2 linked regions of the Lytechinus pictus genome follow. The protein of the gene in region 1 binds, or shares a complex with, the protein of each later gene. Links are inferred from orthologs where the notes say so. Each region holds a gene or a part of one and is shown on either strand. Other genes may lie near its edges.

Region 1 (7,118 bases):
AGCCCATCAGTTGTTTAAAGATTCTAACATGTTTAAAAAGTTTAAATAATTGTTTAGACATTTTGAACAACATGTTGTTAGAGTGATATAGGCTTAAACGCACCGCTTGTAATTTTGTAAAAGCGTTAGTTTTCATCAGAACACTTGGAACATAATCTTCGAATTATCAAAATAGGATATTCTTTATTGATGAACTTGCAATAGAGCCTTAAAAAGTGCTTCATATTTTGACACTGTTCCCAAGCTTTTTGACATCGCTGCCCTATCCTGAAATTTGAGTACGACCTATGATCTAAATGCTTCTCTTTCTCCCTCCACGTTGCTTGTCGCAGGGGAAGAGATAGAATTGAACTTGTCTAATAGAATTTTGAACCCACTTTCTTAATTGCTTTTACTATTTACAAAATGTAATGGTTAACTTGGAAAACGGATCACCAAAATAATGTTGATTTAACATCTTTGTTTTTTATTATTATGAGTAACCTCTGATCAGGAGTTTTATTCATTCACATTATTGGATTAAAAGTTTAAAACCCTGATACAGACAAAGATAATATTAAGAAACTCACGGGACACGATCAGGGCTATCATAGGGACAATTAGAAAGTTGATATTAAAAATAGGTATATATTATATTGCTTACTTGCTCTGGTCTCTTGCAATTAATCATGGAATGATATATCTTTACTCTCAATTAAAAAAATAGTTTTGTGCTTACGTGTGTGTATCATTAAACCACCGCAAATACCACCAGCACATCATTATCATCGTCATAATCATCATCATCACCATCGTCGTCATCATCATCATCATCTTTATCCCCATTATATATTCTTCTTCTTCTTCATTATCATCATCATCATCATCATCGTCATCATCACCATCGTCGTCATCATCATCATCATCACCGTCATCATCATCATCATCATCATCATCACCATCGTCGTCATCGTCATCATCATCATCATTATCATCATCATCATGCATCATTATTATCATCATCATCATCAGGCATCGTCATCATCATCATCGTCATCATCATCATCACCATCATCATCATCACCATCATCATCATCTTTACCATCATCATCACCATCTTCAACTAAAAAAATGAAATGTTAAATCAACTGAAAGATTGGGGAGCGACAATCATTTCAAAATAATGTTATATCCTACCTTACGTATAAAAAGCTGAATACGATGGCTTGAAAGGGTGTAATATATTCCAGCTAGTATATCTAATCAGTATTAGATTTAGGAGCCACTGTCTTCTATGAACATAATTAAGCGCAATCCTGTATTAAAACTGTCTGGCTGCATGCGTCCAATATCACACTGTTACCTATGTCATGTATTTTGTAGTCCTATTTCACATGGCTTCGACGCAACAGATTTTTGTCTATGATACCACGGGCCTCTAGGTGATGCGTTCTAGCTACTCAAGGTATGGTACAAGCGACCTCGAAATGCTGCGATAGGATCGAGCCACAACTATGGCAGCTTTTCAAGAAAGAGTAAAAAAATAAATGAGTAGGCGAGCAAATTATTCCACAAAATGCTAATATGTCCTTTAAGTGGGTGGATATTCACAGGGCTTTATATATTTATTATGGAGTAACACGGTAAAATAAAACCATTGGCAAATCGCCCCTGTCGTTTGTGTAATTCTCTCCACACCCCATCAGGAGCCGGGGGGGGGGGGGGTGAGTGATGTTTCTGGAGGAGGGGACTCGCGCTCCCAAAAATGTTCATACAATAATGTTGTTTTTACTTTTATCATGTCATTATTAAGCATCATAATCTTGACCCAAATATGGCTTATAACTTCGTATATTTGCCCAAAATAAGTTAGAATCGATTATAAGGCTCGCTCGCTGTTCACGCTCGCAACGGAAATTTGATGCCCGCTGATCCCTCACCTTTTTTGCCTCCTGATGCCAATTCTCCATCATTTTCCATCGGGGGGGGGGGGGGGGCTAGAATTCAGTGAGCTGTACGCAGGTGTTTTTTTTTTTGGGGGGGAACATACTTTAAGATCTATTTCTGTTAAAAAGCTTTCACAATCGAGACTTGCGATCGGTTGCAACCACTTTGGTCACAGTATATGTTGCACACAATCGCAACGGTTGTAAGCAGTCGCATCACCAATAATTGTGAAAGGGGCTTAGGTTTTCAAATTTTATCTTACAGTTGCCATGGTTATATCTCGCCATGCTGAATCATTGTCTTGTAAATGGGTAATAATAAAAGTAAAAAGCAAAAGTACTATTATAATATACGTTCGCCATGTTCTCCAAGTCACTTTTCATCAATCAAGTTAGCCATGTTAGCGTCATGTGCCAATCCTGGTATTTTGCTGACTGAACGATATAGATACAGATATTTTTGTAATAGGCATATCTACTTTTTCCGGGAGGGGGGGGGGTGCAATATTGATTCTGACACATTTTTACCTTTATCGTAGGCTGAATTCCTGCTAAAGTGGGCAGCTAGCTAAGGGCAGGGGCGGCGAAAAAAGTGCCCTTTTTAGGCAAGAAAAATGCCCCCTTACGAACGTATATGCCCCTTTCGCCTGAGAAGGACCTGTTTTATTTGTTAACAAGTGCCATATTTCTCCTACAGGGCCTATATCAGTGCCAAATTTTCACCCCAAAAAATGCCCCCTCACGACCGTGTTCAGTGCCCCTTTCACCTGAGAAGGACCCGTTTTAATTATGTACGTGAACAAGTGCCCCTTGCCTTCCTGACCTTATTCGAATCATTGCCCCTTTTTACCCAAGAAAAGTGCCCCTCGATCACGAACGTGTTCTTTGCCCCTTTCACCTGAGAAGGACCCGTTTTATGTCGTTAGCAAGTGCCCTTTTGCTTTCTTATTAGTGCCCTTTCTTGTATCAGTGACCCTTTTTACCTAAAAAAAAATGCCTCTAAAAAATGTGCTCTGTGCCCCTTTCACTTGAGAAGACCCGTTTTATGTGTCAAAGAGTGCCCGTTTGAAACAGGAAAACATATACGTTACTACTTATGAAAAAAAAGAGTAATCCTAATCTATCACGAAATTGGATTTTCATTAGAAAACTTTCAAAATATAAATGTTACGTGATGAGACATATCTAGCCCCCTAAAAAATGTGGGCACATTACAGCACTGTATAGATAAGTTTTTTCTTCTGTTTTTCGAAAGCCAAAGTGCCCTTTTTTCCTTGCCCCCCCCCCTCCACTTTCAACTTCGCTCCGCCGCCCTTATATAGCTAGGGGTTCCACAGCCCGACTTCCATTGACGAGTTCACAGTCCAGAATAAAGTAGAGATCGAGAGAAACCTGATAAAAGAAGAGAGTATATAGAAAGAAAGAAAGAAAGAAACAAAAAGGGGGAAAAGGGAAGGGATCGAGCTAGAAGCTAGGGGAGAGAGAGAGATACTCAGCTAGAAAGAAGGAAGAATTAAAGGAATGAATGATCACAGGAAGAAGGAAGGAAAGAGAAAGAAAGAAAAAGACCGAAAGAAAAATATGGGAAAAGGATAATGAAAGAAATGAAGAAAGAAAGAACAAATGAGGAATCACTGGGCGCCCGAAACATGCACAGTCGAGTACTGTGCACGAAAGGGTCTTTGCAAGAACCGTCTTTCGTGTCGCCCATTTATTATGATGCGCCATGTGAAACGCATTTTAAATAAATTACCTGCAAACATAATTTATTCATCCGTTAAAGTAAACAAAATCTATGGTTATAAAATGATGTAATATATAATAAAATTGTATACCAATTGATTTAAATGCTAGCTAACAAATTATATTTGCTTATCATACATTTCAGAAATATCCCGCATACAGCGCATCATAAGGAGATGGGCAACACGAAAGACGGTCCTTGGAAAGACCCTTTCGTGCAATCGGCCCCAGCTCGTTTCTTGTGCGTGAAAACAGGTTCAAAGGATGAAGGCTGAAGGTCACGAGATCGCGAATGTGGAGTTGACTGAGTCCTGGTAAAATTATATTGAAAATTGTTCTTCTAACCGAAATTGTTGAAGAATATCTACAAATATGGCTGAGGACCAATCACACTATGTAGAACTGTCGGGAAATCCGATAAGATTTGAACCTATCAGCCGTCAGACCAACGTATTTTACGATGAGGTAAAACGACAGGTAAGTGAGCTGCGAAAACACTATTCCGGCGGAACGCTGTCTCTGATTGTCGCCAGAGCTTCCGGGTATCTACACCGTCATTAGTCGCTGGTTCGGATGTTAATGTGGGCGTGTGCGTGTGAAGCTGCGCTTGATCTGAGTCTGAGAGTGAGACTGAGGTCTGAGCTGAGTCGGACGTCGATCGGATTTAACGGAAAAAACGACTAACGTTAGAGGTCTGGGGACGTATTCTGAGGTCATTTTATCTTGCGTAGAAATTGTATCTGCGTATCTACAGATGATACGCAACAGAGGAGTGCCTGCGTCATGTGCGTAGACATACCCATCGCGTATCTGGGCTTCTGGCCATTGGCAATGGCATTGCAACGCGAATGATGTGCTTGCGCTCATGTTACTTCTTTGAAGAAAAAATAAAATAAACTTAAAAGAGGGTAGGGGCTATTTTATCTCCGCGACGTTGATTTCATCATTATTTCTTGGTGAATTAACTACAAATGTTGACATGAAAATGAAGAAAAATTATATATTTAGGCCTATTGAAAATAATACCTTAACGTTATTCCTGTACAATCAGGAAGAATTTCATAAGACTTTTCTTGACTAATATTGTCTTTGAAATGATGCTTGAAAAGATGCAATATAGACTTCGAAAAAAGATGAATATATTGTCATTTTTTAAAAAGAAATCTCTGTAAAAATGCGCAAGCGTATATTGCAAGCGTGATTGAAGTTAATAAATTGACGCAATCTCACTCCTTTGCCACACCTCCTGGCGGAATGGATTTTCATTGGTTGAGTGATATGAGAGAGCTATAAAAGCGCGTTTCTAATTGGATATTGATTAAAAAATAGGTGTGTCTTACAGAGATAAAATGAACATAAAATTGTTCTCAGAATACCAATTCGGAGAGATTTTAAGGGTATTTTATCTCACTGATTTTAACGGAGATAAAATATTTTATTTTATCTGAGATAAAATGGATCTCAGAATACCACCCCTGTTTGTTTTCAGTTCCTAGGACAAAAAAAACATTTATGCCAAATTATGGAAGGGGGTCCTACATAGCCTTGAGGACTCCATGATGATATTTTTTATTATTTTGACATATATACTTCTTCATCATGCATGGAGCCTTGGCTAAAATTTAATACGTGATTATAAATATTATAATAATAATTTATATTCATAATCACTTATTAAATTTTAGTATTTGTTAAATAATAAATTTGCCATGTTGCCCTCCCCGGGCTTTGCCCATAGGAATCCTGTACAAAATAGAGGACAATATTGGCCATATTTCTGCTAATGCGCTTGCGCAGTTGGAGCCGATTCTGATCGCTAATTTCAGTATTTCAGAAATCTTGCTGGAACCAGTTCATGAAACAAAGTACAACACATTGTAGGCAATGCGCGGCGAGGCCAGTGCGGCATACACAAACGTAACCAAGGCGCAAGATTTCTATGCGTTGAGTGTATGTGCGTGCCATGCATGATGCGCGACTGCAAGGTACATGTAACAATTACGTCACAATTATGAGGCGCCGAATGTACCAATATTATATAGAACAATTATTTGTTATATAATCATTATTTATTAAATAATAACTATTATTTATATATAATTTACATTTTATTTGTAAATAACTACTATTATATAAAATATCATTTCTAATTATTTATATATAATTCCAAGTAATACTTCATTATTTGTAAATAATAATAGTTCGACATTCCATTATTTATAAATAATGATTATTTGTTTTTCATTATTTATAAATAATGATTATTTGTTTTTCATTATTTATAAATAATGATTATTTGTTTTTCATTATTTACAAATAATGATTATTTGTTTTTCATTATTTATAAATAATGATTATTTGTTTTTCATTATTTATAAATAATGATTATTTGTTTTTCATTATTTACAAATAATGATTATTTGTTTTTCATTATTTATAAATAATGATTATTTGTTTTTCATTATTTATAAATAATGATTATTTGTTTTTCATTATTTATAAATAATGATTATTTGTTTTTCATTATTTACAAATAATTTGTTGAGTTTTCCATTATTTATAAATAATGATTATTTGTTTTTCATTATTTATAAATAATTTGTTGAGTTTTCCATTATTTATAAATAATGATTATTTGTTAAATAATGAAAACGTCTACTTCATTATTTATAAATAATTTTTTCGAGTGCACCATTATTCTCATTATTTATAAATAATCATTATTTAATGTTCGAGTTTTCCATTATTTATAAATAAAGATTATTTGTTAAATAATGAAATATCTACTTCATTATTTATAAATAATAATTTTGTTTCAATATCCCATTAATCATTATTTATAAACAATTTTTACAGTTTGCCATTATATACAAATAATCATTATTTATATACAAATAACCATTATTTATTAAATAATGCCATTATTTATTAAATAATGCCATTATTTATTAAATAATGCCATTATTTATTAAATAATGCCATTATTTATTAAATAATGGAAAACTCGCTATAACATGCAAATGTGGGACCGCCCATGATATGAATATTCATGATGCGATTTCCTTTTTCGTGATTTTTCTTCACAAATTTTTGTCCATTTCCTCTTCATAATGACATTTCTTGAAGCAATTTTCTAGGGATATGGTCTGATTGTAATATTCTTCATTTTCTATATAACTTCGTCTTCGTAGAAATATCAAAAAGTGTAATTTTATACGATTTTTCCTACAGTTCACAATCCCCATAGGCGCGCGTGTACGGTAGGGACAACCGGTGAATCGACGGAGTGCTCTTCATCGAAATACTACGTTGGTTGGTCCCCGGAAGTGGCGGGCGGAATTTAGCCCGAATCCTCGATGGAAGTCGATCAAGTGCATATGAGCTGAGAGAGTGAAATATCAGTGTACTTGTACAGGCCCTTCTACTTTTTATAATTATTTCTTGTTGCTT
Region 2 (7,665 bases), on another chromosome or scaffold:
TCAATTGGTATTTGACGCTTTTAGAACTTTGAAGCGGTTACTATTGTTTCGATATTCACTGGTCGCCAAACAGAATTTGATAATTGATAAATTGTGAAAGCATTTTAAAAACTGATGATTATTTTTATCATTAGTTTCGCTCGCCGTATCTAAAATAATTTTAGGGCTATAATTATTGAGATTGTTCTTTTTTAAATCGCATACTAGATGAAATATAAATAGGGCATGCTGACGTGGCTAATTTAATGAACGCCATGTTTAGGGTGTGATTTATTGATGGAGCTGACTTGGCTTATACACCACTAAGGGTGAGTGACTATTAATAGTTACATGTTAGTATACCAGATAATTTGTTCCATTTTGATGTGAATTTATATGGATTTGTAACGCAATTTGACATGCCGTGTAGGTTTTATCCCAGACGGTTATTGATTTATGGCTCATAAATCAATAAACGGCATCATTGTTATATACATTATTAAAAGGAAAAATAATTTAATTATGAAATTATTAATATATCGCAGAAAAAGAAATAGAAATTACTCAATAGTATTTCGATCGTACCTGGTACAAAATACTATTGAGTAATTTCTATTTTTAATGCTACTGTATGTGTTATGGTGACTTGCCAAATGAAATCAATCAATCAATAAATCCATCCATCCATCCACCAACCAACCAACCAACCAACCAACCAACCAACCAACCAACCAACCAACCAACCAACCAACCAACCAACCAACCAACCAACCAACCAACCAACCAACCAACCAACCAACCAACCAACCAACCAACCAACCAACCAACCAACCAACCAACCAACCAACCAACCAACCAACCAACCAACCAACCAACCACCCAAAACCAAAACCAAAACCAAAACCAAACCAAACCAAACCAAACCAAACCAAACCAAACCAAACCAAACCAAACCAAACCAAACCAAACCAAACCAAACCAAACCAAACCAAACCAAACCAAACCAAACCAAACCAAACCCAACCCAACCCAACCCAACCCAACCCAACCCAACCCAACCCAACCCAACCCAACCCAACCCAACCCAACCCAACCCAACCCAACCCAACCCAACCCAACCCAACCCAACCCAACCCCCCATCCCAGGGCCATGCATTATGAGACAAAATGTACCCCAAATCTGTTGACTCAATAAAGGGATGGTCAGGGCTGAAAATATTTATATCTTAATACATAGAATAGGGTTCACTGAGCAAAATGCTGAAAATTTCATCAAAATCGGATAACAAATAATAAAGTTATTGAAGTTTAAAGTTTATTTTGTGAAAACAGTCGTCATGAATATTCATTAGGTGGGCTGATGATGTCACATCCCCACTTTCCGTTTTCTTATGTTATTACATAAAATCATATTTGTTTTCATTATTTCATACTTGTGTGAATAATATGTCTCCCATATCATGAAATAAGTTGCAGCAATAAATATCTAATGCACTAAATCAGTTGTCAATACAATTTTTCTAGTTCTTGGAGAAAAACTTTGAATAAACCTAATTTTTTATATAATGCCTGGGGTAACGCTGCTAAAGTTCATTTGGATGGGTTATTTAAAGTCCAGAAAAGGGTAATTAGACTAGTATGTGGAGTAAGTTCACGATCTCACACAAATATTTTGTTTTATGAAAACAAGTTCCTTAATTTACATGACATATTTGATCTCAACCTTGGTTGCATTATGTATCAATTAAATAAAAGAGAACTTCCACTTGCCCTAGAAATGACCAAATCCATTTTTACTATACAAGACAAGTTTCTTTTCTCCACTTGCCATTGGTCAAAACTAGTTTTCGGCTAAATACATTTGTTTATACAGGGCCAAAATTATGGAACTCCCTTCCTTCTTCATTGAACCAATCAGTTAGCCTTAGTGTTTTTAGAAACAAGTTAAAGACCGATTTACTGAAGAAGTACTTAAATCAGTAAACGAATACCTGCTTGTTATATCTCGTCTAACTTTAGAAATTGTATTCTTCCCACAATTATCTATGCAACAATAGAGCTTTGCCTATTTTCTTTATATTTTCCTCTTTTCTTTCTTTTCGAATTTCAGATTCTTATACTTTAGGTCTAATAGAATGTTTGCATTCTGCATTTCACCTTTTTGTTACTTTTTAGTGTATCTTTTGTAAATATGTATATCTGTACTTTGGTTGTTTACTCCAATTTTTTGTTTACTTGTTCTATGATGTTTTAAAATGATTCACGCTAATATAAGTTTTTAACATTCTGGTGGCATATGGCCAACAAGCGGCTAAGCTTCTTAGTAGGTCACCACGTTTCATTTCCATCTGTTCTCATGGGTGTTACTAATGTTCCATAAAAAGTAGTGCATGTATTATGTATATTATCCTGTAATTATTTACTTTTGTTCTTTGCTATTTACTTGTTCTCCCAATAATTTACTGTTGTTATTGTTGTTGTTTGATATCGGAATTGAAACGAAATAAAGATTCATTCATTCATTCAAAATACAAAAGAACAAGTGGAGATGTGACGGGGATGTCCACCTAATGAATATTCATGACGACTGTTTTCACAAAATATTGCTAAACTTTAAAATTCAATAACTTTGTTATTTGTTATCGTATTTTGATGAAATTTTCGGCATTCTGCTGATCTGCTCAGTGAATTCTACTCTATTTATTAAGCTATAAATATTTTCAGCCCGGACCATCCCTATAACACCACTCTGTCTCTCTCTATATACCGTATATACAGTGCGTCCCAAAAAAAACTATACACTTTTGAAATGGCTGCCAAATAAAAAATGTAGCACTTTGGGGGAAAAGACTTATAGATATGGAAAGCCAATAAAGTCAACTTTCAAATGACACCAAAAAGTTGGAAAACTATTCATGCTTGAGCGAGCACTGCCCACTGAAACAAAGGGTATGAAAATTAGGGTGGGCCGGAATTAGCCTTCCAATTTCTTTCAGGTTTTTTTGTTTGGTACTTAAAAGTTGAGGGTTATTTGGTGAATTAAAGATCATTTGTGATCAGTTTGTTGTTTGTGTAAATTTAATGCGTTATTAAATTGAAATTTAATGCATGAGTGATCATGAATTGCAATTTTTAGTGCAGCATTTTGTCTTTATCATGTGGATCTCAACAATGTGTTCATGAGAGTCAGGAGAAGAGGGGGTAATATGACTTAGGTAGGTGAAGTACGTTGATGGGATAAAGGTCAACAGAACATTTAAGCAACCCCTCTCTCCATCTCAACCCCCACTTCTCTTCTGAGAGATTAAGCTCGGCTAGACTGGGCAGGAATTAGCCTTACAGTTTTTTGGAGTGGTTAGTCCTTTGGAACTTGCTAAGCTAAGGGTGTTAAGCTAAATTGATGATAAGATAAGTAAGATAAGTTTTGGTTTCTTGGGCAAATTTCACGAGTTACTAAATTGAAATTTAATGCATGAGTGAGCCGGAGTTGTAATTTTAGTGTAGCATATTCATCTTTTGGACCTCAGAAGTGTGTTCGTGAGAGGAAGAGTAATATGATGGTACCTGTTACAAGCAAGAGGGCGAGATATGCTAAGACTTGGTTAAAAGGGCATTCCTCTTCTTTTTGTCCTTTTTACATATTAATAGTCATATGTACCATCCCTTCTCCACCTCCATTTCCCAGCCCCCCCCCTCTCTCTCTCTGTCTCTTTTCCTGGATTGTAGCCTATTCAAAACTTAACTGCCAAGTGACCGGTGGCTGATGGTCAATTTTTTTTTTGGAATCATTACCAAGAAATTTAATGATTATGATGATTAATGAAATAATTTATTGAAAAAAAAATGAATGTTTGATTGATCACATTGCACATTGAATGAGTTGATTTACTAATAAATTGTTGATTCAATGATTGATAGGAAAAAGTTGATGCCCCAATTCAGAATTTATCATTAAATCGACATTCTGCTCTGGACTTCACGCATACATGACAATAGCCATCAGTCTCACAACAGGAGGGGAAGATGGGAAAGAGGGAGGGGGAGGGTGGGAAAGAGGGAGGGGGCGGGGACTCAATGTTCTGTTGACCCTTATTCCATCAACCTGCTTCTCCCACTTAAATCCTATCTCACCCCCTATCCTCCAGACTCCCATGAACACATTGCTGAGATCCACATGATAAAGTTGAAATGCTGCCCAAAAAAGAGATCCAAATGATAAAGTTGAAATGCTGCCCCAAAAGTATAATTTATGCTCACTAATGCATTAAAGTTCAATTACATAATTTATGAAATTTGCTTATGCAACCAAAACTGGTCATGGTTGATCATTAATTTATCACAACGCCCTTAACTTTGCAAGTTTAAAAGGATTTGCCTCTTAAAAACTGACACAAATTGGAAGGCTAATTCCAGCCCACCCTAATTTTCATACCCTTTGTTTCAGTGGGCAGTGCTCGCTCAAGCATGAATAGTTTTCCAACTTTTTGGTGTCATTTGAAAGTTGACTTTATTGGCTTTCCATATATGTAAGTCTTTTTCAGCAAAGTGCTCCATTTTTTATTTGGCAGCCATTTCAAAAGTGTATAGTTTTTTTTGGGACGCACTGTATATTCCAATCCCACAAAATTAACGACACCATAATCCTAACTTTTTGTTCAAGGAATTAAGGACGTGATACGCGAAGACGAAGTCGAAGAAAGAGACCTAAAAAGTACCTTATCTGGAATAATGACCTCTCAGCGGAGCATAGTGAACCTTTCAAATTTCTTCATCTACAATACAAATATAAAATGCAGAGAAGGAGAGGTGAGAATAAGTTCTTTCCGAGGCCGTGTTTCTGTCGCTAGCACTAGCTAGCAGCAGTAGCACTGCTCCGTATATTATAAATCGAGTACTGGTGAGAATCTGTGGTCCCATTAACTTGATTCCGTGGAGGTGCTGTCTTGGCTATTGCCGAAAGATGTAGCCGTCGGTGGGGCGCTAATGCAGTTTCGCACCGGCCAACTTCGAGCAAATTTCCCCACCAGGAATTGTTTACAAATGTCATGGCAAGTCTCTCAGTCACATTTCGAGGTCAATATTCCCACTGCTTTTCTAAATATCGCGATCGGGAACGGCTGCATTTACATGATTTAGGCTTTGCTTTTTGCCTTTGCTATTCTTGACACTCATTCAATGTCAATGAACAAGGTTATGAATATGATATTATAACCTAACCCAGGGAACTCCCGCCTGCTGTGCGGGCGGGAGCCCAGGAGCTTACCGTGTATTTGACCATACTCACGGGACTAGGGTGATTTATGGTCTAAATATTTCTCCAAATGAATTATGAAAACAGTAATCATGCACTTACCACGATTATATATGGATGAAGCCAAGGTCTAACGAGTGGCAGTTTCCTGACATCTGGGCACAGACTGGAACCTCAAAAAACGAAAAGTTCTCTCCTTCTACCCCCGTCTCGATCGGCCATTTTTGTTATGAATTGTAACAAAATGGCCGATCGAGACTGGGGTAGAAGGAGAGAACTTTTCGTTTTTTTGAGGTTCCAGTTTGTGCCCAGATGTCAGGAAACTGCCACTCGTTAGACCTTCGATCCATATAATCGTGGTAAGTGCATAATTTCTGTTCTCACAATTCATTTGGAGAAATATTTAGACCATAAATCACCCAAGTCCCGTGATTATGGTAAAATACACGGTAAGCCCCTGGGCTCCCGCCCGCTGTGCGGGCGGGAGCTCCCTGGGTTAGATATAACCTTGTTCTCAGTTATATCTCAGTCCATGTGTGGCAAAATAAGGATGGCAATGTTTGGCTTATTTTCTCTTTTTCTTTGGGACAAATGCTTGATTTTTTTACACTGACAGTTTCCATTACACCTATTCATCATACAACTTGGCCCTTTAGTAAATTTGATTCTTTAAATTATTTTTTTCTTAATTAAAAATAGAGACAAAAAATGAAAATTTTCTTGCTATATTATTTCAGAGCTGCCAACCATTACGTTTTTGCCGTAATCATTACGTTTTTTCATTCAAATTACGGCATTATGGTTTTTCTTTTCAAATTACGTTTTTTGACAATTTTGATAATGTATGTGGAGTGCTAGATGAGCCTGGTACTTGCTCGTGCGTAGTCGCCCGCCAGCCGGTTTTCCAACGCACTTTAATAATTTGATAGCGTGCACGTACATGTACATTAGTTGAATATGCGAGCGGCATGCATGGTACGAATCGCGATGTATAGCGACTGGTAAATACGTCTGTAAGGATGATGACGTTATCCAAGATGGCAACTTACGATGACAAATGAAAGGATCGAGGATGATTATGTTTTGATCATCATTTGAAAGGAAATAACAGTAACTGCGGTCTAAGGTACAATATCTCTGAATTTTATATATTTTATCTTAAATTTGCATGTAATTTCTTTCCTATAATTAAAGTGATGTTTTATGTACAAAAAAACGATCCGAAAATCAGATTTCCGCCGAATGTTAGATCTAACGTTACTGCTAATACATTGTCTTTAAGCACGGGCCAACACTCTTCAGGTGAGTGGAGCCAACGTTTGTTCTTGCAGCGCAGAGCGAGGAGTACGATGAATTGGGTAGGGTAATTCCCCAAATGTAGTAAGAGAAGAGTCAATTTGTAATGGAGGGGGGATTTGGAGGTTTGAGGGAAATTATTATTCCATTTGCAAAATTTTACAAAAATACTCATCATATATATTAAAGATTGAATCATCAAAAGATATTTTTCATATACTTTAAAATTAATTGTAGTGATAAAGAAATTAAATTTTGAGGCTATTTTCTTGAATTGATTAATATCGATTCCCTTCGGATAACGGGACTGTCTGGTTAATTTTCATCAACTCGTATCAAACAAATACGATGAATTCGGCTTTGAAAAGACCTGGAAAGCTCTTCATTGTCCCCTGAAGTAATAATTCTGGGTGATATTCAACATTTATTGATAGTTTCACATGATTTATACTAGAGAGATGTCCTACTGCCTTTGGAATTCATTAAAAAAGTCGGCACTTTAGCATTCAGTTTAGCAGGAATGGGAAGATTTCTTCCCCGGTTCTGGCGGCCTAGATGTCTGCTCTATAGTGCTGTCACTGCTGGGGATGATTGAGTGTGCGTGCAGTGTGATTGAGGCTGAGCTGTGCACATCGTGAAGTGATTTACGATGGGACTTTTGTGGAATGATTTCAACTTATCTATAGATCTATTTGAATTTTAGATTAGATTGATTTATGAATAATTTTTCTATATTTGTGGAATGTTACATGTACACTTCCATTTTATGACACTTTAATTTTAAAGGGTACTGTTTGGCAAAAACAATGTTACTTGGGAAGAGAAGTCTGAATTGATGTCAACTTTTTTTTTTATTTCTCTTAGTCTACAATTTGGTAGTTTTGTCAGGAAACTCAACATAAAACAAAGAATTATTTTAGAAGTGGAAAGGAAGCCCCAGAAAAATGGAGCCCTAAAAATGTTCACCAGAACTGATTTTGGTGCCCCTGAAAGAATTTTTTCTCGACAGATCTTCACTTTGATAAGTGCCGGAGTAGGTTGCACTATAAAATGAAAGGCCTACTTGTCATTTTTAGAAAAATTTGCCTAGAATAAAAGTGGCCTTCATGCCCTTTAGAATGGCCTTGATACCCCTTGAA

The links.
Region 2: the proteins of regulator of MON1-CCZ1 complex-like (region 1) and vacuolar fusion protein CCZ1 homolog are in contact, whole or in part, in a cryo-EM structure (PDB 8JBE), measured with the Drosophila melanogaster proteins. The link is inferred for Lytechinus pictus from reciprocal best matches to the Drosophila melanogaster genes Bulli and Ccz1. Residues at the interface, in NP_648047.2 of Drosophila melanogaster: Tyr395, Gly397, Phe407, Tyr464, Ser467, Met470, Leu471, Gln474, Asn477, Asn498, Arg499, Asp502, Thr503, Arg505, Arg506, Leu507, Tyr510, Met512, Asp530, Thr531, Ala532, Gln535, Ile538, Asp539, Arg543, His547, Ile550, Lys559, Asp562, Leu566; in NP_647835.1 of Drosophila melanogaster: Tyr188, Leu189, Pro190, Leu191, Asp192, Lys193, Thr194, Phe196, Leu197, Arg198, Gln200, Asn201, Glu207, Val223, Leu224, Cys225, Gly226, Lys228, Tyr342, Asn385, Gln387, Ser388, Pro427, Ala428, Asn447, Tyr448, Arg449, Asp479, Phe483, Lys485.

What each region holds. Positions count from the first base shown.
Region 1 is NC_087261.1:21,300,518-21,307,635, reverse strand, and holds the start of regulator of MON1-CCZ1 complex-like, read left to right. Parts: upstream 1-3,928; 5' UTR 3,929-4,040; coding exon 4,041-4,145; intron 4,146-7,118. UniProt on the Drosophila melanogaster protein: Positive regulator of the Rab7 guanyl-nucleotide exchange activity of the Mon1-Ccz1 complex, possibly by enhancing its endosomal membrane association.
Region 2 is NC_087254.1:25,998,101-26,005,765, forward strand, and holds the start of vacuolar fusion protein CCZ1 homolog, read left to right. Parts: upstream 1-4,613; 5' UTR 4,614-4,707; coding exon 4,708-4,785; intron 4,786-7,665. UniProt on the Drosophila melanogaster protein: Part of the Mon1-Ccz1 guanyl-nucleotide exchange factor complex specific for Rab7 that promotes the exchange of GDP to GTP, converting Rab7 from an inactive GDP-bound form into an active GTP-bound form.